Rhinolophus ferrumequinum: one gene and its partners. The protein of the gene in region 1 purifies or fractionates together with the protein of each later gene. This does not show direct contact. Links are inferred from orthologs where the notes say so. Each region holds a gene or a part of one and is shown on either strand. Other genes may lie near its edges.

What was found. Proteins that work in one complex are often made in the same cells at the same time.
Region 2: the proteins of SLC39A11 (region 1) and FAM174A purify together in Homo sapiens (co-immunoprecipitation; 3 studies listed by BioGRID and IntAct, counting the BioPlex papers as one, with this or other methods). This does not show direct contact. The link is inferred for Rhinolophus ferrumequinum from reciprocal best matches to the Homo sapiens genes SLC39A11 and FAM174A.
Region 3: the proteins of SLC39A11 (region 1) and GALNT16 purify together in Homo sapiens (co-immunoprecipitation; 3 studies listed by BioGRID and IntAct, counting the BioPlex papers as one, with this or other methods). This does not show direct contact. The link is inferred for Rhinolophus ferrumequinum from reciprocal best matches to the Homo sapiens genes SLC39A11 and GALNT16.

Annotation. Positions count from the first base shown.
Region 1 is NC_046304.1:48,664,880-48,672,347, reverse strand, and holds the start of SLC39A11 (zinc transporter ZIP11), read left to right. Parts: upstream 1-4,456; 5' UTR 4,457-4,523; coding exon 4,524-4,572; intron 4,573-5,445; coding exon 5,446-5,564; intron 5,565-7,468. UniProt on the Homo sapiens protein: Zinc importer that regulates cytosolic zinc concentrations either via zinc influx from the extracellular compartment or efflux from intracellular organelles such as Golgi apparatus. May transport copper ions as well.
Region 2 is NC_046290.1:67,040,455-67,048,191, forward strand, and holds the start of FAM174A (membrane protein FAM174A), read left to right. Parts: upstream 1-4,653; 5' UTR 4,654-4,848; coding exon 4,849-5,288; intron 5,289-7,737.
Region 3 is NC_046289.1:27,811,073-27,818,258, reverse strand, and holds the start of GALNT16 (polypeptide N-acetylgalactosaminyltransferase 16), read left to right. Parts: upstream 1-4,102; 5' UTR 4,103-4,240; intron 4,241-4,310; exon of another isoform or gene 4,311-4,597; 5' UTR 4,598-4,710; coding exon 4,711-4,887; intron 4,888-7,186. UniProt on the Homo sapiens protein: Catalyzes the initial reaction in O-linked oligosaccharide biosynthesis, the transfer of an N-acetyl-D-galactosamine residue to a serine or threonine residue on the protein receptor.

The DNA of each region.
Region 1 (7,468 bases):
TTGAGCACATAGCATGTTTGATTGTACGTGTATTTGTGCAGTGACTGTGCTGGACTGTAAAGATTGGTTGGGCAGTTCGTTCTCTTCTTTCTTGCATTTTTGGGTGAATAAAATGCATTTTAGAGTGGATCAGTGTCTTGACTGAGGCCGGATGCTTCTTGAAGGCATGTTAAAATTTAGAGAATGATTTTTATCATTACTTCATAGGAAGAAGCTTACCTTGTGCGATTATACAGGGGTTACTCAGTCTTGACACTGTTGACATTTTGGCCCAGACAGTTCGTTGTTGTGGGGGTTGTCCTGGGCATTGTTGGATGTGTATCTACCCACTGGCACCATCCCACTTGCCTATTGTCCCCTGTGGAGCAAAGTGCCCTTGGCTGAGAGCCCTGGATGACTATCGGGTTAGAAGGAAGTAGTTGGGACAGTCTGATCCAATACACAAATATTGTTTTCCCCTAACTCTCAGGAAGGTCTTTAATATGCAAACTGTAGACAACAAATAATACTTTTGTATCTGACTTATCCATTCAATAAATATTGAGTATCTACTATGTGCCTTGCACTGGGGACACAGCAGTGCAAAAGGCAGACGTGGTACTGCTCTTACAGAGCTTGCATTTGGGGGACTGAGTAAATAAAAATGGTAAATATCAAGAAGTGCCGTGAAGAAAATAAAGAGGTTTGGAAGGCCTATATTACAGTAGGTGTTCAAGGAAGGCCTCTGCAGAGGTGACATTTGAGCTGAGACCCAAATGACAAGAAGGATCCGGGCAGGTGAAAATCTGGGAGACAGATGCACCAGGCAGGGGTTCTAGGCCGTGTTCCAGAGGGAACAGTAAGTGCAAAGGCCCTGAGGCAGGAGTAAGCATGGTGTTCACAGAGAAGGCAGACCAGCCTGGCTGAAGCAGCTTGAGGAAAGGGTACAGTGGTCGAGAGCGAGCAAGCCAGGTCATGTAGGGCTTCAGAGGTTAAGGGAGGGAGCTTGAGTTCTATTCCAATGAGGAGTCCTCAGAGGGTTTGCAGTAGTAGACTGACATAATTGAACTTTATAGCTTAAAAAAAAAATCACTGTTTGGAGAATTGGACTGTTGGGAAAGATTAATTGGGCGGTCAGGCAGGATGAGGAGTCAAAGCTATTATTTTGGGCAGAGGTGGCAGCAGTGGAGATGGAGAGAAGTTGATGAATTCTGGACAGATGGGTGGGGGCTACTTAAAAAATCCCTTAAACAAAATAACAAAAACCCCCTTACATTTCAATAGCACTTCCAGAAACTGCTTATTACTTTTACTTCTAGGATCCCATGAGCATATGTAGTGCGGGAGACCCTGCTCGCTGCGCCAGGTGTCGTGCAGGGGATCCTGCCGACTACGCCAAGTGTCATGCGAGGTGTGAGGCGGGGTTTCTGGTCCCGCTCCCCACACAAGAACGCAGGACATGGTGAGGCCAAAAAGGAACACCCACGGAGCCATAGGTAGGGGAGTCATACCACTATGTTCTCGCTGGCGGCTGGGTTGGAGACACAGGAAACAGGAGCCACACAATTCTCAACCCTCACTGTGCCGCTTGCAGGCTCAGCCACCATCTTCTTGCTAGCCCCCATTTTTTTCCTGCTAGCCTAGCCACGGCAGTTATATTCGTGGCCAATGGCTCACTGGTTACAGCTGATGGCCAACTAGCCACAGCTGATGGCCATTTGATCACAGTCGATGGCCATTTACTACCTGAGCCAGCACCTTTCTATGTGAGGCCGAGAGCCAGGAAACTGCTTTTTGGGGCTCTGTCCCCACAGCATATCTGAGTGTAGTGACATAAATGATATCAGGGGCATGACAAAGTGCTCTTTCCTTGGGTTTCTGTGGCTTCAGATAAGGCTGCAGAGGCTTATTTATACATGCAGAATGTTCTTTCTGCTTGGCCTCCGGGCTCTGTGCTACCCGCCCCATCTGTTTCTGAGCCTGAAGAAGGCTGTGAACCGGAGAATTTATTCTTCTGGCAGGATCTGCCAATCATAGCCGGGCGGGGAGGGGCCTGGTGGCTGGTGGGACACGTGTGCCGGGAGGGAAGCAGGAAGTGATTTCGGGAGTGGAGCCGGCGAACGAGCGGCAGCAGGGGCTGATGGAAGTGGAGTGGGGGCTTGAGAGGGCACCCTAGTGAGTCGGCTTTTCTGTCCTTCAGCGCCTTCGGTCGGGCTGGAGGCCTGGGGTCTGGGGCCATCAGGACAGGCGTGGGGGACTAAGAAGGGCAACGTGGAGTTTGGAAGGGAGTTCCTCTGGGGAGGGGAGGGGGTTGGCGGGGAAGCGGGGCGGCTTTGGCAGGTGGCAGAGGAGGCAGCAGGGGGCGCGGAGCCCCCTCTGCCCCTCCCAGGGGCAAGTTGGAGGGTGTTGACCTGCCTTCTTTTGACAGTGGTTTTCCAGGATCTTCTTCATGTAGTACTTCATGGTGGGCTTGTGGGGGACCCTGGAGCCCTGGGAGTGCGGGTGGCTGCCGTTCCAGCTGCAACGTGTCTGTTCCCACTGGCTCTGGGGGTCAGCAGGTCCTCCTGAACTTGGCTGGGCATCTGGTTCAGGTGCAGCAGGCCAGAGATGGTGCATTTCCAGTCAATCCCCAGGTCAGCTGGTCCGCGGGCCACACTTTCAGTGGGGAGGTCCTGGAGAACTTTTCCACAGTCACAGCAGCCCAAACCCGAATCGTTTTGCTGGATTTCCCTCGTGGAGTCAGGGCGTCTGTGTGCAGTGCCATTATGCGCTGTTTCCACCTCTGCAGCTTCACCCACATCTTGGAGCTGACTCTTGGAAGCAGGGCAAGAGGTTTGAAAGGGAGAGAAAAAATCCTGGATCAACTGGGAGCACCTCATGTCCTGCTGTAGTGACCACATGTGGGGTGGTGTTGGCATCTTTGAAGTTGGGGTGGGAAGGGAATAACCCCCTACTCTGCAAACGAATCAAGGTTTATGTGTTAACATCCAGCTTACAAGGAAGCCTGGGCCTCATTGTGGAAGCTGAGTTTGACGTCCCCAGGCTGACCGCTCCCTGTCCCCAAGGTGCTATTGGTCTACCTACTGGAGAAAACTCGTTGTTATCTCGTGACTTGACTTGGCGTCAGCCTTGCCAGGCCCTTGTAGGGCAGGAGAATCACTTTCTAAGCTCTTGGCCCTGTAGAATTTGTTCCAGCTTTAGACCAGTGCTTTCCACATGAATGTGCCCTGTGCCTAAGAATGCCCCATGCAACCGGATAAAACTCAAGATTCTGATTCAGCAAGTCTGGGGTGCGGCAGAGAGTCTGCATTTCTAGCCTGCTCCCAAGGGCGACCAGTGCTCCAGGTTCTCGGACCACCCTTTTTAAAACAGCGAAGGGGAGAAACTTCTCCAAGAGCGGCTGGGCTTTCATGACCAATGAACAGTGCTGCGACTGTTGGGGTGGGAAGGATGATGGCCTTGGTCTTCCTTCTGTGTTCCTTTTTCTTATAGCTCAGGGTGCTCAGCTGTCAATGGAGACAGGCCTAGAAGAGTGCCTTTCCCTCCTACCAGCCCCCAGGGACACCCACGAGGTCCTTGTTTCCCAGCCCACAAAACCCACATTAACTGGCCTTTTGGGAAATGCAAATGGTTTCCTCTCTTCTGTAGCTGTTAAAAGGCGCGAATTCAGTACTGGGGCAAAAAAGGTGTTTGTTTGTTTGTTTTAATGACCTGTCTTGGGTCATAAGTACTAAGAGGATGATAGCTGTATGCCTTTCTTTGTAAATACTATTGAAAATTTTATCCACAAGCAGCTAGAAATAGAAAATTGGTGTCTTGATCTAGATGTGTCGTTTTAAAAACACACAAACCACTCTTTTTAGGGTAACTTAACAAGATGACATATATAAAAGGGTGTATTTTTTTTTTAATGATTGTTTTTTTTTTTTTCTTTATTTGGTACAGTCACCATCCTGGGTTCTACTTAGGCTATGGGGACACCATTTGAGTCCATAAATGCTGTCTCTGTCAGAGGTTTCCTGGCACCGGGGCCGAACCTGGGCTCACCTGGGCTTGTTGGGTTCACCTGGACCCACAGCCTTCCTAGGTTTGAATCCTAGCTATGCTGCTGAGCCCTGTGGCGTAAGGGCCCCTCCCTCACACCCTCGGTCATGGTTTCCTTCCAGGGTCAATAGAGAGAGGCGGTGTCTAGCCCACAGCTGCTGGCTCCGAGCGCTGGGACCTGGCAGGGCTGAGCCCGGTGGGGTTGTGTCCAGCCCTGTGGGTGCTGGCAGGCCGGTGGGGAGCTGAATGAGCCCTCTGAGATGAGGAGGGCCTCACCCTCAATGTCTGTGTACCAGCACACAGGACTTTTCAACAAATGGGTTTCTCCACCTTGTAACTTTCCACAGCAAGAGTCTGATTCCCTGTCATTTCAGAGCTAGGGTTTAAAACACGTTCAAGTCTAGAAGAGGCTCTCTGAGCAAACACACGAGGGAATGTCCTTCCCTTTCTTTCGTCTGTGGGCAGTGGTGTAACTTCAGCATCAGCAGTTGCCTGGGGAAATGCCCCTTTTGGCTCCATTTCCTTGTTCTTGCTGGGGGTCCTCTCAAGGTAAGCTTGTCCAAGGTGCCATAAAAAATTCAAGCATTTTCTAGGGGTGCCAGAAAGTTCTACCTACAGGGGTGCCAAATGTGAAAAAGCATCATCCCTGCTCTTAAGCAGCTGATGATATAAAAGATGAAGGAGGCAAGCCCACACAAAGAAGGTGCCCGAGCTGTGCTCATCAGGGACGGGAGTGGAATGGAAAGCATGGAATCGAAGTTGGCATTCGGTGGACAACAGGGGATGCTCTGGGTGTGATGGCTGGAGGTTGGGAAGGAAGGCATTCTGGGAGGAGCCGCGTGAAGAGAGACTTGGAGCAGGACCCTGTGGGACTCGTCCAGGTGCCATAAATAATTAGGTTGAGCTGGAATATGGTGCCCATGTAGGGCACCGTGGTAATAGGCAGGCTAGTTGAAGGTCTGTCGGTGACATATGCCCTTGGCGGGCCATGGGAGCTGCCACGGGGAGCTGTTGAAGGTTGGATCAAAACTTAGGTGGAAGAGCTTCGAGAGGGAACCTGAGCTAGTCACCTATATTTGGAGGAGACTGACCCAGTGATTTGCAAGGGCAGGAGGAAGGCCGATGGGCGGGAAGGCTGTAATTAGACCCTCTGCTCCCTGCCTGCAGGCTAAATAAACAGTCTTTGAGCTTCCTGTGTTTGGAACTATTTTCCAGTGTTGTAACCTCTTTCACAGATGTCTTCTCTGGCATCTCCCCAGGTGTCCCCACGTTTCTTACTGAGAGATGGCATGGCTGAAAGGTGCATACACCAACCCAGACCCAGGCCAGATCAGGTGGATGGGGTTAGAACACCTTAGAACACGTGCATGTCACTGAAAGGGACCACTGGCAGCTGACCCTCTCTTGCTCCTCTGCACACAGCTGTATCCAGCATGCTCCAAGGTCACAGCTCTGTGTTCCAGGCCTTGCTGGGGACCTTCTTCACCTGGGGGATGACGGCAGCTGGGGCGGCTCTCGTGTTCATATTCTCTAGTGGACAGGTGAGTTGCCTGGATTCAGCCCTCGTAGCAGGCTCTGAACCACTGCACAGTCTGGCGGCAGACTCGAGCGCCACTGGCCACACCTCCAGCTCGTGGGTGATGTCCTGTCATTTCCCCCTTCTCCCTGCCAGGCCTGGAGAGCAGGTGTCTACGGTTTAGGCATCACTTGTTCCTCCCCTCCTGATTTGAAGGACGGAGGGAGTGAGAGAAGCCCAGTGAGTCAGGCTCCTTTAGCTGCCTGCCCGATTTCTATCTTCTGTCCAGTTTCTTTCAGGCCTGGTGCAGCTCAGTGCATGACTGAAGGGGAACAATAGATTCTGGGTGTGACTGCCGTTCTCTGTGACCTTGAGGTAGCTGGGGTGACTGGACTGACTTGGGGAAAGGAAGGGAATCTGTTCCCTCTCGTTTGCCCCAAATCCAGGGCGCTGCCTTCCCTCTCCCACCCGCTTTGGGATGGATACACTCAGACCTGCCTCCCCATAGGCCTACAGACCCCCACACCTACCCGCCCCACCCCCACCCACCTTTGCTCTTCCTATGCTCCCACACCCAACCCCCACACACACCTGTATCCCCCGTACCCTACACCCCTTTACACACTCCACATATGCTCTCCCACCCTCCCCACACACCCCCACACCCTCCTCAACCCCATTCCCCACACATTCCACGCACCCCACCCCTTTCCTCCACGGCCCACGCCCCCCTCCTAGGTCCCAGATTCCCTTTTCTTCTCCACACCCTTGACTGCCTCCATCCATTGGCCTAGAGTGATCCGTGGATAACTTGATGAATGCAGCCGTAGAAATTGTAGGAGTGGTAAGCGACTAAGTGATTTAAGATCTATCTAAACAGGCTGCTAGGCGGCTCTGGAAACTAAAACGCGCCTAAGACGTTGGCAAGCCAGGCACTCTTGCGTTAGAGACCAGTAAAGCAGGTATTGATGTCAACGATGAGATCTTGAGATCTTATCGGACCTCCCCGGCTGCCCGCCCCTGCCTCCTCAGCGGGAGGCTGGGAGAACATCACCGCACACAGCCGCGAGTGCCAGCTTACTGTCCACAGGTAGTGAAAACGTTCAAAACCCGGTTCCTGAAGGAGAGACCGCCCCCCTCAGGAGCCAGAGGAGGGGCACCAGGTTATCCTCTTTCACCCCTCCTCTTTCACAACAGCCACGCCAGGTTTGCTGGGGTCCTGTCCTTCTGGGCAGAGCAGCCCATCTTTTCATCTTCACCAGTTTCTTTTCCTTTAAGAAGGAAAGATCTGAGCCGCGCTAGCTGGGGTCTAGCTGGCCGAGCTGGCCATTGAGACCTGAGTTCCATGCAGCACTGTGGTGAGTAGAACCTCATAGCCCCATGTGGCCCTGGCCAGTGCTCTGGGGCTCTTTGGAAGCGGGGAGCCATCACAGAGGGGCCCCCTTTTCCTTTGGAGCTGCAGAGCCCCTAATTTGGCTCGTGTTTGGGTAACCACCCAGGTCAGAAGGGGGAATTGCTGAGACCTTTGTCTTTGTGGAGCATACAGGGCGTCCTCAAGACCACATGTTCGCTGATTCGCTAGAAGGACCCATGGGACTCAGCATGTAGTTGTGCTCATGGCTACGGTTTATTGCAGTGGAAGGACACACAGCAGGGCCAGCAAAGGAAAGACACAGGCAGAGCCCGGGGAAATGTGCGCACAGGTGTCTGCCGCTCCCTCCCTCCTGCGACGGGGCACACAAAGTGTGCTCTGTGTCCCAGCAACCTAATGCAGCAGTGCTGTGACGTGTCTGCCTGGTGATGCCTGTGAAGGACTGAGCTCTCAAGGTGTTCCGTGGGCGCTGGCCACGTAGGTGTTCAGTACCGTGCTGCTTCCAAAATTCCAGACTCATGGGAGGAAAGCAGGGGCCCCGCATCTATCACCTGGTT
Region 2 (7,737 bases), on another chromosome or scaffold:
TTTGATATTTGTGACTCTCCTGTGATTCTGACATGCCCAAATATGGTTTTCTTTGTATTTATCTTGCTTATTGCTTTCTGATCTTCCTGGAACTGTAAGTCAAAATTTGTCAGCTATCATTTTTCAAAAATATTTCATTGCCTCATTATACTGATTTTTCTTTTGGAGCTCCAATCCACATATATTGACTTGTATAATACTGTCTTGTAAGTTTCTGGGGTTCTGTTCATTTTTCTTGAATCTTTTTATATTTCTGTTCGCGAGACTATAGAATTTCTCTGTATCTTTTTCCCAAGCCCCTCTAAATTGGCAAGATTCAATCTCCAAATTCTGTCTCCTCTAACAATCAATCTTGTTAGGGCTTGGTTTTAAGCTTTGTTAAAGTGTGTCTAGAGTGGGCCTCTCTCTGGGTGTGGCCTTTATCATAAAAAGTGATTCATCCTGATTCCCATTTTCAGGAAGTGTTAAGGAGCCCTAACCAGTATGTCTGTGCCATAATTCTAAAGTCCCCGGGTCTGCTAATTGTGTGCTACCTCGGTTCTGCTGTCCCCTCTGCAGCAGCCACTACGCCTTGGGTGGCCATGCCTGTGGTTGTACTGTCCAGCGCTCAGGCAAGAACTTGTGGGAAACCCCCCTCACCACATGAATTTTATGACCTCCACAGATTCTTTATTTTAATGCCCTGCTTCATAGATTCCCATCACTTCAAAAGCCTAGAACTCTGATCTCTGCCTTTTAGATAGAGAGACTTCCATATTCTGATTGAACTCCAGGTCACTGCACTGCAGCTAGGAAATTTTCCCGAGGCAGAGAACCAGAAAAACTGGGACACAACTTGTTTGTTTTCTCTCAGGAACCATAGCCCATTTGTATGGTCATTTCCTTTTAGATATTTAATGCTAGCATTTATTCGTGCTCCTACTTGACTATGCATGCGGTGCCTACCCCAACAGCACTGCTCCCTTCTAAGTTGTCTCTATGGCATTCCAAGTCTGCCTTCACATTCTAGCTTTTAGCATACATTCTTTTGGCTGTCTGGTTTGGTGATCAGTTCATACTCTCTTTTCTGGATTATTTAACTCTGTTTCCTTTTGGACTTTAGAGTATAGATAGTCCCCTGATGTGATGCCACTCAATGTGTAAGAGATTCCTTCTGTCAAATGTGACCACTACAATTGAGCCAACCTCCTGCCTTCCCTCCTCATTACTGCACTAGCAAGGGGATTCTGACAACAGGGCATACTTATTGAGCCTTGGTCTCTATTATTTAGATTGAACTGAAAATGAAATGCCTATCAATATAACCTTTTTTTTTCTTTTTACTTGCTAACATAAACACAATTTGGCTAGAGTTAGAATATGTCCATGTAAATATTAAAATTTCCAGTTTCCTAGAAATGACCATGTCATACCTCTGTCCAATGAGCTGCATGTCAAGAGCAAAAGATGGGGCTTTGGGTAACCAATTGCTTTCATTGTTTAAAAAAACAACAAAACAAGACACACATGGCTCATTTCTCTTTATGCTTATCCCCCATCCCCCTTCCACTCACTCACTCTGCCTCAGGAAGTTCTGACCTTAGATTTAACATAAACATGACCTAGACATGATCCCAGAAGAATGAGAGGTGCCTGGAGTAAAACTGAACTAAACCTGTGGTCTGGAACCAAGCCTACACAAGGTCAGCTTAAATCAATCTCAGCTTGACCCAAAACATGTGAGAAATAAATGCTTATGACACTGGGATCTTTTTGGTTATTGTTTATACAACATTATTCTAGCAATAGCTGATTGAGACAATAAGCTAGACATAAATCATGAAAACTCTTAATTAGAAGATAAAATGCTGGTAGACTGCCTGGATTCACTGCCCCGCTCTGTTGTTTTCACTCATATGGATTTTTGCCAAATTAATTACCCCGTGTCTCAGTTTCCTTGACTGTAAAATAGGAATAATAATGTGTTTTTTTAATGAGGATTAAACAAAGATAATCATTTAACATTTGATAACATGATATCTGGTACACGATGCTTAATCAATATTCAAAATTATTATTCAATACCACTGTGGGGTTTGGATTTTACTCAGGCGGCCAGTGGTTTTTAACCATATTTCCAAGAAAGACTGGTGTCTGTCATCTGAGGGGGTTCCCTGATAAATTAGAATTTATCAGGGACTTTTCCCAGTATGCAGATTAATTTAAGTAAATCAATATAAATTCCACATTCTAAGAATTTTTCTCCCCTATGTTTTTAAATCTCTAGTGATTGGCACAACTTTTAAGCAGGCTAACTGAAAACTAGTAAATGCACAAGTAGTAGTATTATTAATTGAACAAATTCAGAAAAACCAATTATACTTTGTTTGACAACTTGTCTTATAAATAGACATGCGTGCTCAAAATTTTCATTTTATATTACACAGGCAAAATATTTTCTCCCAGGAAACTTGCTCCCACTTCCTGTGATGGAACTGAAAATATTGTTCCATAATGCTTTACAGATAATATGGTATTCTGCAAAGAACACATTAATTTGCAGGTGCTGTGCCTGCTTAAGATCACTGATGTTGAGGACTAAGAGTCTTTTGGAAGGAAATCTATTTGTTCATCTGTTATTTTAAGAGAGATCTGAGCTTGAAAGTTTACCATGGCTGTAAGCAAAGGTAGAAAGGGCTGAGAGCAAAGAAGACTAGTGTATAGCCCTAGAAATATAAAAACAATTCCTTGTCAGAAGCAGGGAACAGAAAATAGTTGATTAATGAAAAAGACGTTAGGGAAGTGAGAAAATTTGACAACATTTAGATGCAAGTGGTAAGGGAAAGGAAAGAGATTCTTAAACATTAGTGTAAATGAAAATTACCCCAGGAGCTTAGAAAAATGGATACATAGTCCATATCCCCACTCCCAAAAATTGTGCTCAGAATTTCTGGAATAATGACCTAGAACCTGCATTTTTAACAAATTCCATTTCTGATACTGATTCAGGTGGCGGAGAGTCACATTTGGAGAAACATTAGAACATAATATGCTCTCATCATTTGCAATCATTAATTTGACTCTGCTATTTCAGAATTACTTAGCACTTTTCATGTTTCAGTTACTGGCAAGGATTGCTGCAGATGGGAAGCCAAGGATAAAGGATGATGCCAAGGTTTTATGCCTAATCACCCTGGAGAAGAATAATGCTAGTAATCAAGATGAGAAACACAACAGTAAAATGTGATATTATAAGGAAGGAAAGATGGTGCACTTTATTTTTTTTTGATGTGTTGAATATTGGACTTTTTTAAAGGGTGGAAGTGAGTGGCATTAAATATGAACCCTCTTCCACGTATGGCTCTGAATAAGGTTGTGAATAAGGGAGACAGGATATCCAAAGAACCATCTTATTACTGATAAATGCCAGGTTGGAAGCTGAAGTTAGGGCATGTCACCAATGGTCTTCCGCACACTGGAACCCAACATTAATTAAGATGCCTAGTCCCTACAATTCTACCAGAGTAATTGCATTACTCTATTACCCCTAAAGACACTATCCTGTCCACCCTACCTACAATAGTCCTTTACATTTTTTTTTTACTGTAGATCCTGTACTTGTCATTTACAACATACTTCAGAATTCAGAATGAGCCCAATTGTTTATCTACATATGAGCCTAAGTACTATGACAGCAAAGATCACATCTGATTTGTCTACTATCCCATACTCATAATTTCACACAGTGCTAAGCAAGTAGAAACTCAAAACAATTTTTTCAGTGAATACGTTTTTTAAACAGAACAAATATTAACTTTGGCTTCTGGTCAGGTTTTTCATTTGTTTTTGTTGTTGTTGTTGTTGTTACTGTTTGTTAGTATCTGCTAAGACCAAAGTTCCATGTAAGATGTCAAAGAAGGTAAAGAAAACATTATTCAAGACTATCATAATAGACCACAAAAGCCAGAACTCTTGAGCTCAACTACCCAAAAACAAAGAGATGGAAGCGCTTTTAAGAGTTGAAGTAGGGAACATCACAGGCCACCTGTGTTTACTAATTGGCCTTATTCAAAGGAAAAGTTAACTTTTTCTCTTAGCTTTGTGACAGGAAGTAGTTCTACAAGTTGGAACAAGGTGCCCGCCTAAGTTAGGCTCCTACCTTTCCACAAAGACTGGAAAGATAGGGGTGCTATTGTCTGCCTTGATTACATTTCAAAAGAATGTCTCCCGGTCCTTAATACAATCCTGGGCTGTAAAACTGGCAAGAGCTTTTTAAAGGATTTATTATATACCTCAAAAGGGCAATGGATGAATTTACAATTACAAATTTTCTACAGTAAATACTCTCAAGAAAGGAAGCTCAGGGACCTGGAGACTGGAAGACATTTGTCTCCAATTTGTACCTGAGCTAAGAGAAACGTCAAGCCCGTCTTAACTGTGTTTCTGCAGTTTTACACAAAGGAACTCAACGGTGAGCTCCGCTCTCTCGAGCTTTCCTTATGCAAAGAGCTTCTGTACATTTTACACTACACATTTTTGTTTACTTCCTTAATGATGACCCACCCGTAGAGCGGACTCAGCTCCTCCGGGCAGAGCGTGTGCGCACAAGGCATTGCGCGCCGGACGTCACTGCACGCGCCTGCCGCTACCTGTTAGCAACCGAAAGCGTCCATAGCAGCAGTGGCGGCTGAAATGTACGCACTTCCGGTTTTCCCAGCAGCTGCTGTCGCTTCTGACACCTGCCGCGGCCGGGTCTCAGCCCGGGATTTGGTCACCTTTTCTTCGTTCTCCATTGCGCCCATGGTTCCTCCTGGAGCCAGGGCGGCGGGCCCGGCGGCTCCGGCGTGGTGAGAGGCCGGTCCGGGGACGATGAAGGCCCTGCATTGCAGCTGCTGCCTCAGCCGCTTTCTGGCGTCCGCCCTCCTGCTGCTGCTACTCCTGCCAGGGTTAAGAGGGCCCATGGCGGTACTGTTGCAAGCGGCCGAAGCCGCTCGGGACTCCGGACCCTTGGAGCGTGGACCGCGGACCCTGCCCCCACTTCCGCCTGGCCCCACCGCCGCCCGGTCCCCTGGCCGCGCTCAGGCCGAAGCCGCGAGGCCTCGGGGCGCTGAGGGTGGCAATGGCAGCAGCCCCGGTGCGGGGCTTGAGGCGGAGGACCCAGCCGGGAAGGCGGGGGAAGAAGGTTCAGTGGGTGGCGTTCTCGCTGTGAGCCCCGATCCCGGCGAGAAGCCCATGACCCAGCGGGCCCTGACCGTATTGATGGTGGTGAGCGGCGCGGTGCTGGTGTACTTCGTCGTCAGGACTGTCAGGTGAGGCGAAGCCTCGATCAGCCTTCCCCCAGGGCCCGCTGACCTAGCAAGGCACATTTCTGGAACCTCGCGTTGCCCACCTTCCTCTCCCAGTATCAGGGGTGCCTGTTTGAGTGAGATTGTGAAGATGACTGTCAAAAGACAGTGGTACCTTTGAGAGAATTGAAACCACCAAGTAGCTGCTCCCTTTCATTTATAAATTATACATAGTACCCGCCTCCAAATCCCTTTACCTGGCAAAAAGAGCATACTTTCCCTGAAAGGAAGTAATCTTGTATTGGACCACAATGTGTTGCAATACTTCGCTTTCTATTCTGTACTGTATACTTTGCCAATTTGCCTATTAGAATGAAAACTTCTTAAGGGCAGGATTCCTATTTAGTAGCGTTTGTAAGCCCTAGAGTTCCTTGTACAATACCGCCACTTGATAGGAAATCAATATTTATTTAAGTGGATTAATAATAATGCAGAAGGACTTTATTATGGTAATTTTATAAAATATAAAAGAAAAAGAGTTCTTCCTTACCAGAGATTTTTTTAGTATTGGCCTTTTAATCTGCCCGTAAGCAATTAGATTGTACCCTATGAAGTTTCCTGCATTCCACCATTTTTTACCTGACAATACAATTTTGTATTGTCACTTTCAATGTGTGTCGTACTCCCCATTAATCAGAAATATTTAGCATTCATTTTACATGGCACGGTTATTTCAATGCAAAGTGTTACCAGTTGCGTGATAAAATGGAAAACTGATAACCTATTAAGCAAAGGAAAAATGTTATAAATATGATCCAATTTTAATATTATAGCAAGTGTTTAGTATCCTAAGAAAACTCACTATGTTGACTTTAAATTTACAAATATTTGAATTCATATATGGATAAATTTGATATTTCACACACACACACGTGCAAACTTTCTAAAATGAATTCACCTATAAATAACAATTCTGTCATTCAAAAATTTAAATTTATGAAATACATAGTTTTTAAAGACTATTCCAACTACAGAATGCTAGATTGCTGAGTTATTTAAATTTCAGATTTCGAACAGATATGATCACTTAAATGACACCTTTCACTTTACCTGTGAGGAAATTGACCCAGAGGGTAAAATGATGTATCTGATATTCTATGGAGCTTAATAATAATCTATGATTGTACAATCCACTGTTTGCTTTGTTTGAATATTTTCCAATTAACAAAATGTCTATGTCCTGACCTATGATCAACATTTTTATTAAGTAAACCAGGTCATTATGTTGGACATACTATGAATAAAAATAGACAATTGCCACTTATTTTTCTAATACCCTAATGCCTTATCAAGTAGAAAAGGAATTATATAATCCAACTAGAGATATTTATTATTATCAGTAACCTCCATTTGATGCATTCCTTTATCACTGAAGTAAAATTGGCTTCTGACATCAATCATATTAAAATATTCCAACCATGTAATAAGACTGATTTGGAAAATCTATAATAAAGCCTCTTTTAGTGGGTTAGCTGGGGACCATGTTCTGAAGAGCTGAAATATAGAGCCAAAACGTCAATATTAGGAGCAGTCAGCCAAGAAAAGAGCTGAGGGAGCACTCTCTCAATAGTTTCCTCCTTAATAAAATAGAGGCTAGGTTTTCAGGAAAGCACTGATTTATTGTTTTCCAAACTGTCACATTTTTTCCCTTAACTACCTACCCTCTATTATTTCATACATTTCTTTAAATATGTTTATTTAAACTAAAAGTTACATTTTAAATAAATCTATTTATTATTCCATGAATAGAAAACCAACATCCCTTGGCTTAAATAGCTATTAAAAAACAAAACAAAACAAAACAAAAAAACAGTGTAAGCCACTCGTAGCAGACATTTGGTCCAGCGAACCTTGGGAGGTGGGAGGGTGGGTTCTTTGAGAGCCCTTCAAGGAATCTGCAAGACCAAAGCAATTTTCAAAATAATGCGTTATCTTATAAGTTTATAGGGTATAAGAAGTTCATTGATACAGTTTCAAATTCTACATCACAGCTAATTTTTAAGAAACTACCTCTTGTTGAGTTTTGGTGTAGTAGCAAAAAAGAATACTAGCATCTGAAAAGATTAAAATGCTCCTCCCTTTTCCAAGTTCATATTTATGTGAACCTAGATTTTTTTCATATCCTTCAACCAAACACATTGCAAATGATTAAATGCAGAAGCAAATACAAATATTTACCTATTTTCTATTTTCTATGTCTTTCTATTTTCTATTTAGTTCTATCTGTTTAAGCCAGACATTAAAGGGATTTGAAAAAAATCTAAGTCAGTGCCCTTCTGTCACCTTTTTGTTTGTTTGTTTGTTTTCTTTTTGACAATATGTTTCTTATGAAAAAAGGTATGTTAACATGCAATGGATTTATTATTTTAAATCAAATGATAGATTTTTGGTTTAATTAACATACTAAGTATTA
Region 3 (7,186 bases), on another chromosome or scaffold:
GGTGGGACCAGAGAGGACTTTCTCACCTCCCCATCCTGAGGCAGCAAGGTTTGTCCCCTGGCCCGTGTTTGGGGGAGGGAGCCAAATGCTTCTGAGGAAGAAGCACTGTTAGGGGACCTGGGTTACTTATTATACTGGCCCACACTGACCTACATACATCCCTCCCTCTGGGCTCTAGTCCTGCCCACGACTCTCAAGTGCTTGACTTCAGAGAGAAGTGCATGTTCCTCAGAGCTACTCTACCCTTTTTCTTACCTCTGCCTGCCTCTTTCCCTCCCTCTCTTCCATCACCAAATATTTAATGAGCATGTACTATGTGCTACTATATGCCAAGCACTGTTCTAAGCACTGGGGAGACAGTGGTGAACAAAACATACCAGAACTCCTGCCCTCATGGAGCTTACACTCCAGTGGCAGAAACTGACATAAAAAGCCATGGTTATAGGCAAATAGAATGATTAACAAGAAGACTCTTTGAGTTCCTTTCAAAGAGCCAGGTCTTCTCCTCCATCTATCATGGTTTATAGAAACTAAACTTACAAGTAACTTCTCCTTAGATACAATGGTGCACTACGTGCGGTCATCTGGCCGTGGGTAGTAGATGCACCTCTTGATGGCTGCCTTACCTCTGCAGGCATCAGCTTCTTCATCTGTGAAGCGGAGATGGTTGCACCTTCCTCGCAGGGTCGTGGGGAGTATTCTGAGAGTGCGTATCGGCGCAATGCCTGTTGCATGGTAACACACTCTGTTCACCATCCCTTCCTCCTTTCCTGCTTAGAACAGACATGGAGGTATAATCTGTTCCCCTCCTCTACCTTCTCGGGCCCCGCTGCAGCTGCAGACAGGGCAAGAGGCTTCTGGGGGGCCGGTCCAAGGTCTGAAGGGAAATGGGTATGCTAGCAAGGACAGACACCAGCAGAGGCTGGGGCCCTGTATTCCCCGCACCCCCCGCCCCATCTCCAGTCCACTCAGCAGAAACTGTGGAAGAGGCAGCCACCCACCTTCTGGGCAGGCAGTTGTCCTTGGGTGTGGCTGAAGAGGCCTGCCTGGGGTCTGTACTCTTTCTCAGCACTGGTGAGCAATCCTGTGTGTGTGCCCTGGGCAGGCCCTTCGGGAGTCCCCTCTCACCCCAGCAGCCAGCAGCAGCGCCTGTGAGAGTGGGCCTCCAGGGGACTGGGCTGGTTACCAGGCACTGGATCTTGCATGCTTTATTTCATCCTATCTTTCCCAACAATGCTGCAAGTTATGGGCTGTCATGCTTCATTTCACAGTTGAGGAAACTGAGGCTAAGAGAGGTTAAGAATTTGCCCAAACCACTCTCCTAATATATGACAGAATCAGCATTGAATTCAGCTTGTCCAACTCCAGAGCTAGGGTTTTACACCGAGCTGTACCCTTTCTCCCCTCTGTTATCCACCTGCCCCCCCCATCCCCACATCAAATGCAGGGGCAGAGAGTTCCCTGGGGCCTCTAGGATGGCCAAGGGCACTGGGCACTTTGCCCAGCTTACCTGAGTGCTTGCTTCAGCAGCTTTAAAGGAAGGGGACTGTGCCCAATAGCAATGCACAATGGAGACCCTGCCCAAGGAACTGGAAGTCCAAAATGACACCGTTGGAGGGACCTCGGAGGTCATCTCTCCGCATCCTTCCTTTTACAGAAAAGAAAATGGAGGCACAGAAGGGGACATGGGGCCCCTGCATACAGAACTTGTGACCACCCTGCAGACTGCCCAGTGACCTCAGAAACGCTGCACTGGTGCCCAGACACAGGCACAGCAAATAGACTGAAACCGACCGCTTACCTGCTGTAGGACTCTTGGCAACCGAGACCCTCACCGAGCGAGCCTGAGTTCTCGTCTGCAGGTTGTGGGTGTGTTAGAGATAACGTGTGAGATGCCAGCACAGCACCTGGCACCTGCTGTGTACTCAGTGAACTGTCGCTATTATTATCACTCCTGTTGTTTTGGAAGTTCAATGAATGTTAGGTAACACTGTCTCTCAGTTGTCACCTTGCTTCTGTGGTTCTGCTGGAATCACTCCTAGGCCTAGAGAGGAAACAATGCCCACTGTCATCTCTGAACACTGAACTCTGTCTCAGGGGTCAGCACCTGGCAGAACGACTGTGCCTTCCTCCTGCCACCCCCATCAGCACCGCTCATTTGCACGGGTGTCTCCAGCACTCAGGACTGAACCATGCACTGTGGTAGCTGAGGTGGCCGCTGCTAGTTCCCAGCTCTTCTAGTGTGCCTGTGGTTTGAGGCCCGTCACTCAGCCTCTGTCTATGTCACGTTTCTGTTAGTCAGGTAAGCATGGTGATTATCTGCCCCCTTACCCTCACCCCCACCCCCAGGGAAATTTATTGTGTCCATTTAAGGAAGGGCTGGCTGTGAAGTCTAACACCATCCAGAGAGGCTATGCTCCTATGAAGTTTTCTGGGGGGAGTGGGGAAGTCTTCTCTTTGGGACAGAGCTTCCAAGAAGTGACAATTTGGTCAGATGTGAAGCATACTCACCACTGAGCCCTGGAGAATAAAGGGTGAGACTTGTAGAAACTTGGCTAAATTCCAGCTCCTCCTTCCCTCCCTCTCCTCATAGAACCCTTCTTCCAGAGCCATCAGAACCACCCCCTCCAGCCTGATTTCAGTTTGGCATGGTCCAGCTTCATCCCTCAGGCCTAGGGCTGAGTGTGGAGCCTCTCACTAGGGGTTGATGAGATGAGTTTGGATCCCGTATCTTCTTACCTGGTTCTCTCAAGACTAAAGGCAACTAGACATGGATAGACCAGGCTGGGATGAGGGGAGCAAGCCTATGGCAACAGAGGGCCATTGCCGGAGTCTTTCCACTTGGCTGATGTGAGAGCATGTGTGGAAGTGGGGACACCAGCAGGGCAGTTCCCTTACACTTCCTTTGTGTGCAGATGCCTGTGGGGCCTGATTCCTAAGGAGCAAGGTCTCCCTGGTCTCCCACAGAAAACATGACCACTGGGTCTGCCCCATGATTCCTGCATCTGCTACATGTGTGGTTCAGTCTTGAGTGCTGGAGAACCCCGGGGAAATGAGCGGTGCTGATGGGGATGGCTGGAGGAAGGAATGAGCTGTGACCTCACCGTTTGCCTGATTCCCACGGCAGCTTCATTTGGAGGCTGGGACCCTCTGTGGGCCTTCACATGAACCAGTTTCCAGTAGCACTAGTGGGAAGCAGATTCCCTACCAACTTCAGGGTCCTCCTGAATCCAGATTCTCTCAGCCTGGCCACCTTCCACCAAGGCTTTCCCAGCATCCTGGACCCCAGCAATGCCAGGCATTGCTGATGTGTTCTTCCTTGAACACATCAAGTATTTCCATCCTCAGAACCTTTGCTCGGGCTATTGGTGCAGCCCATATACCCTGCCCTGCCCTCCCCCTTTCCTGTCTTTTAAGAACTTATTCAAAAGATTTATCCACCTTCTGTGAAAAGCCTTCCCTAGGACCACTTTGCCTGCCATACATTATTTCTTCTTCTGTGACCCACTTGGTTTGTCTATGGCACCTCTACTCGTTTAGTGTCTGCTCTGTGCCCAGCCCGTGCTGGTGGTCTTCTAGAGCTAATTTAGCCCATCTTGCCTTCTGCGGGAGTGAGAGTGGTTCCCCCGGGGTTCTCAATGCCGCCAGGACTGGGGCAGAATCGCTATAATTTCCGTGTCTGTGTCACTCCCCACTGTTTTGCACTTTGTCGAAAGTGTCAGAGAGATGGCTTCTAGACTGGGCTCTGCTCACTAATTAGTTGCGTGGCCTTGGGCGAATCTTCCAGCCTCTCTGAACTCCCTTCTTCCTGATGAAATGGTGACGATGATACCTCAGCGTTGGCCAGGGACAGTGAGGCGGGTGGAGAGGAGCATGATGAAAGCTGGGAACTCTAGGCCAATGGAAGATGTGCGGTGGTTGAACCCACATTCTCCTTTCACTAGCTGAGAAGCAGCGTCGCTTCCCCTTGCTGTCTTCGAATGTCAAGTGCACCAGCTTCCAATTCCTCCGTGGTGGGGGAGGGGGCTTCGGTCGGCTCGGAATCCTAGGTTGTGGAAGATTCCTGTGCAAACTCTCCTCCCGCCTAGCCAGCCTCCCCTCCCCAAGGACTCGCCGAACATACCTTAAACCCCGCGACAGAGCGCAGGTCAAGCGCAGCCCGGATCCGCACCTCCGCGGCGCGGGCCCGGGTCGGGGTCGCGCATCTCCAGCCAGTGACTCAGGGCCGCTTGGTCGGGAGGTGGGTGGAGGTAGGAGGGACCGATTAGGGCCGCGCGGGGGCAGCCGCCGGTCGCTCTGTCACCAAGCGGTGGTAGCGGAGACTGGCTCTGGCCGGTCGCCATTCCGACGCGGGTGTCTGCCGGGTCTTCCTCACGCGCCGCTTCGCACCCTTGGCGCTTCTCCCCTAGAGCGCAGCAACCCGGACGGCCAGTGGGAGCTGGAGCGCCTGGCGGGCTCTGCGCGCAAATGAATGGGCGCCCGGGGGACGCGCGCGCGCGGGGCTGAAGGGCATTAGGACCGTGAGGATCGCTCCGCGCGCCTGTCTCTCCCCATCACCCCCCCCACCCCCCACCTCTCTCCTTTTTCTGCTCTGCAGGACTGAGCAGCCGGGCGCAAGCGAAAACAAACAGCTGGGGCTGCGAGCGCCCCCGCTCCGGCCCCGAGAGCTCGCCGGCTCGGACCCCCACTCGGGGCGCCCGCCCGCCCACCATGAGGAAGATCCGCGCCAATGCCATCGCCATCCTTACCGTAGCCTGGATCCTGGGCACTTTCTACTACTTATGGCAGGACAACCGAGCCCATGCAGCATCCTCCAGCGGCCGCGGCGCTCAGAGGGCCGGTGGGAGGCCGGAGCAGCTCCGCGAAGACCGCACCATCCCGCTCATTGTGAGTACACCCTGCGCGCCGGGCGGCCGGCCGGGGAGCCGCGGCGCGCGTCCTAGCCTCGCGCGGCTGCAGAGGGCGCGGGGCCCGGCCAGGGGCTGCGTGCCCGCCGCGCTCTGCGGGCTTTGTATATGTTGGAGCATTCCTGCCTGTTGTTATGGCAACCTCCGTTGGGCCAGCGGGGCCAGGGCGCACGGATGGAGGGAGGGTGACAGCGGTTGGGGGCTGGGAGAAAGTGCTGCAAGTTTGGTGGGCCCGGCGTGCGCGCGAGACTGGGAACGTGGCGGCTCTCTCGGCACTGCGCCGCCGGGCCGGGGCCGGGGGCTGCCCGTGCCTCGTCCGCTCCGGAAGGCGGCTGGACCTTGCGCGCAGCTAGCAGGCAGTGGGAACTGCGCGCAGCTGAGCGCGTAGGTGGCCATGCGCACCCCCTCTCCAACCTCCTGGGGGCCAAGGACGTGGGGTGGGGGCGTTGGGTAAGGCAGGATTGCTAGGGGCTGCGCCCGGCTTTGAGCCCCTTTCTCGGCTCGGGTCAACTTGAACCTGCTTCTTATGCACGGAGTACTCCCCATTAACATACCCGGGGCTCTCTGGGTAGGGGAAAGGTCTCGTCCTGTACGCGCCCCTCACCCCATCAGGACGGGTGAGTGGGCAGTGTTTGCGCACCGGCTCGGAGATTCCCTTTCACGAGGTCAGCCCTGCGAGGTCAAGGCGAGTAGGGAAACAAAGGCGGCGGATCACCGCGGGGGTCTCGGCGGAGCTGCGGGACCCTAGGCGCTCCCGGGATCTGGCCTGGGGCGTGAGGAGTCCCCGCCGCCCTGCAGGGGGCGTGCCTGTCGCCGCCTCCGCCTGCGCCCAGGTTGAGGGCTCTGCGTGGCGGGGGCACCTGTTGAGGAGGTAGGCTCTGGGACCCGCCGAGAGGCGCACCCCGGCGTGACGCCTTCTTCCCACCGGGACGAGTGGTGGGCAAGAACCTTGGACGACCCTCGAGACTGCTGGGCGGGGGCTGCTTGGCTGGATGAGGATCAAGAGGAGGGAGAGCAAAGTGTGGGGCCAGGGGGTGGGTAGTGGAGCAGGGTGACGATTCTGACGTGAAAAGATCTGGGCCTGGGCAGGGAGGGGCGAGGAGCTCCTCGGGGCGGTGCAGGGTCAGGAGGGCTAAGGCTTGTGTGGAGTACAATCTGAGATGTTTGTGCAAAGGCAGCTGAGCCCCAGGAATATGGTGGGGAGCGGGTGTTGGTGTGGAAGTGCTCTCATATTCCCATCCTGCCCCACATTCTGTGTCTTGTTACTCGCCCCGCCCCGGAAGAAGTAAAAATCCCCTGCAAAGTACCATATCTCCCTGCTTTGCCTGAGGAGACCTTGAGGTTTACTGGTTTTCCCCAGCCCTTCTCCCCCAGTTCTCACACCCCTGTCTGGTTGAACTCTGGGGCTGAGCCTCTTTAGGTGGAATGTCCCTTTCTTGGCTGAGAGTCCCTGTCATGAGGACACTGTTTCCAAAACACTTGTGGCTGCTTGGACAGAAAAGCTGATGAGGAAAAAAACCTCCTGTGTAAAGACTCCATAGTGCTGGGGTCTGAGAAGACTGACAGATTGGAGTGGAACTGGCCAAACCACTAGTGGCCCCAGGTCCCTAGGGAGTTTCCACACCATGGATTCATCCAAGCTACCTCCTCCTTATATCATGAGAGGGTCAACCCTGGCCTCAGGGTAAGTGGGCAGGAAATAGCAAGGGACAAGCAGGCTGGCTAGAATGTTCTGTCCTCTGTGTGATGTGATGGGCGGAGGGTCCGAGCTGGAAGAGGAAGAGGAGGGGAAAGAGAGGGGAATGGAAGGGAAAAGGGCACTGGGAAGCTGCTGGGTCTCATCCCTTTTGCCTCTGCTTCGGAATCCTAACCTTGCTCTTGGACCTCTCCCCTGCTTCTCTGAGTGCCCTCCAAGATCAGCCCGGAAGGCCACTCAGACTGAGAGACCTGGATGGTGTGGGAGGCCCTACTGGAGGCAATGCAGCAGTTTTGAGGGGTGGAAATTGGAGGTCATGGCGGGCTCCAGTGAACATGCTCCTGCCCTGTCCTGGGTCCCATGGGGTTTGACTTGCTGCAGATTAGAAAAGGGCTGTGAACTGGAAGTCAAGTTTAAAGTGTGAAGGAGTATCAGGGACCTCCCTGGAGCCAGGGAGTGGGGGTGCAGGAAGAGAGGGAGAGTGGAAGTTCCTGGGAGAGAGCGGCAGAGCCTTCTCTGGCCACATAGGGGCATAGCCAGCTCCCTCTCTGTTCTTAAGCTTTAGTCCTGGATGTGTGTTCCA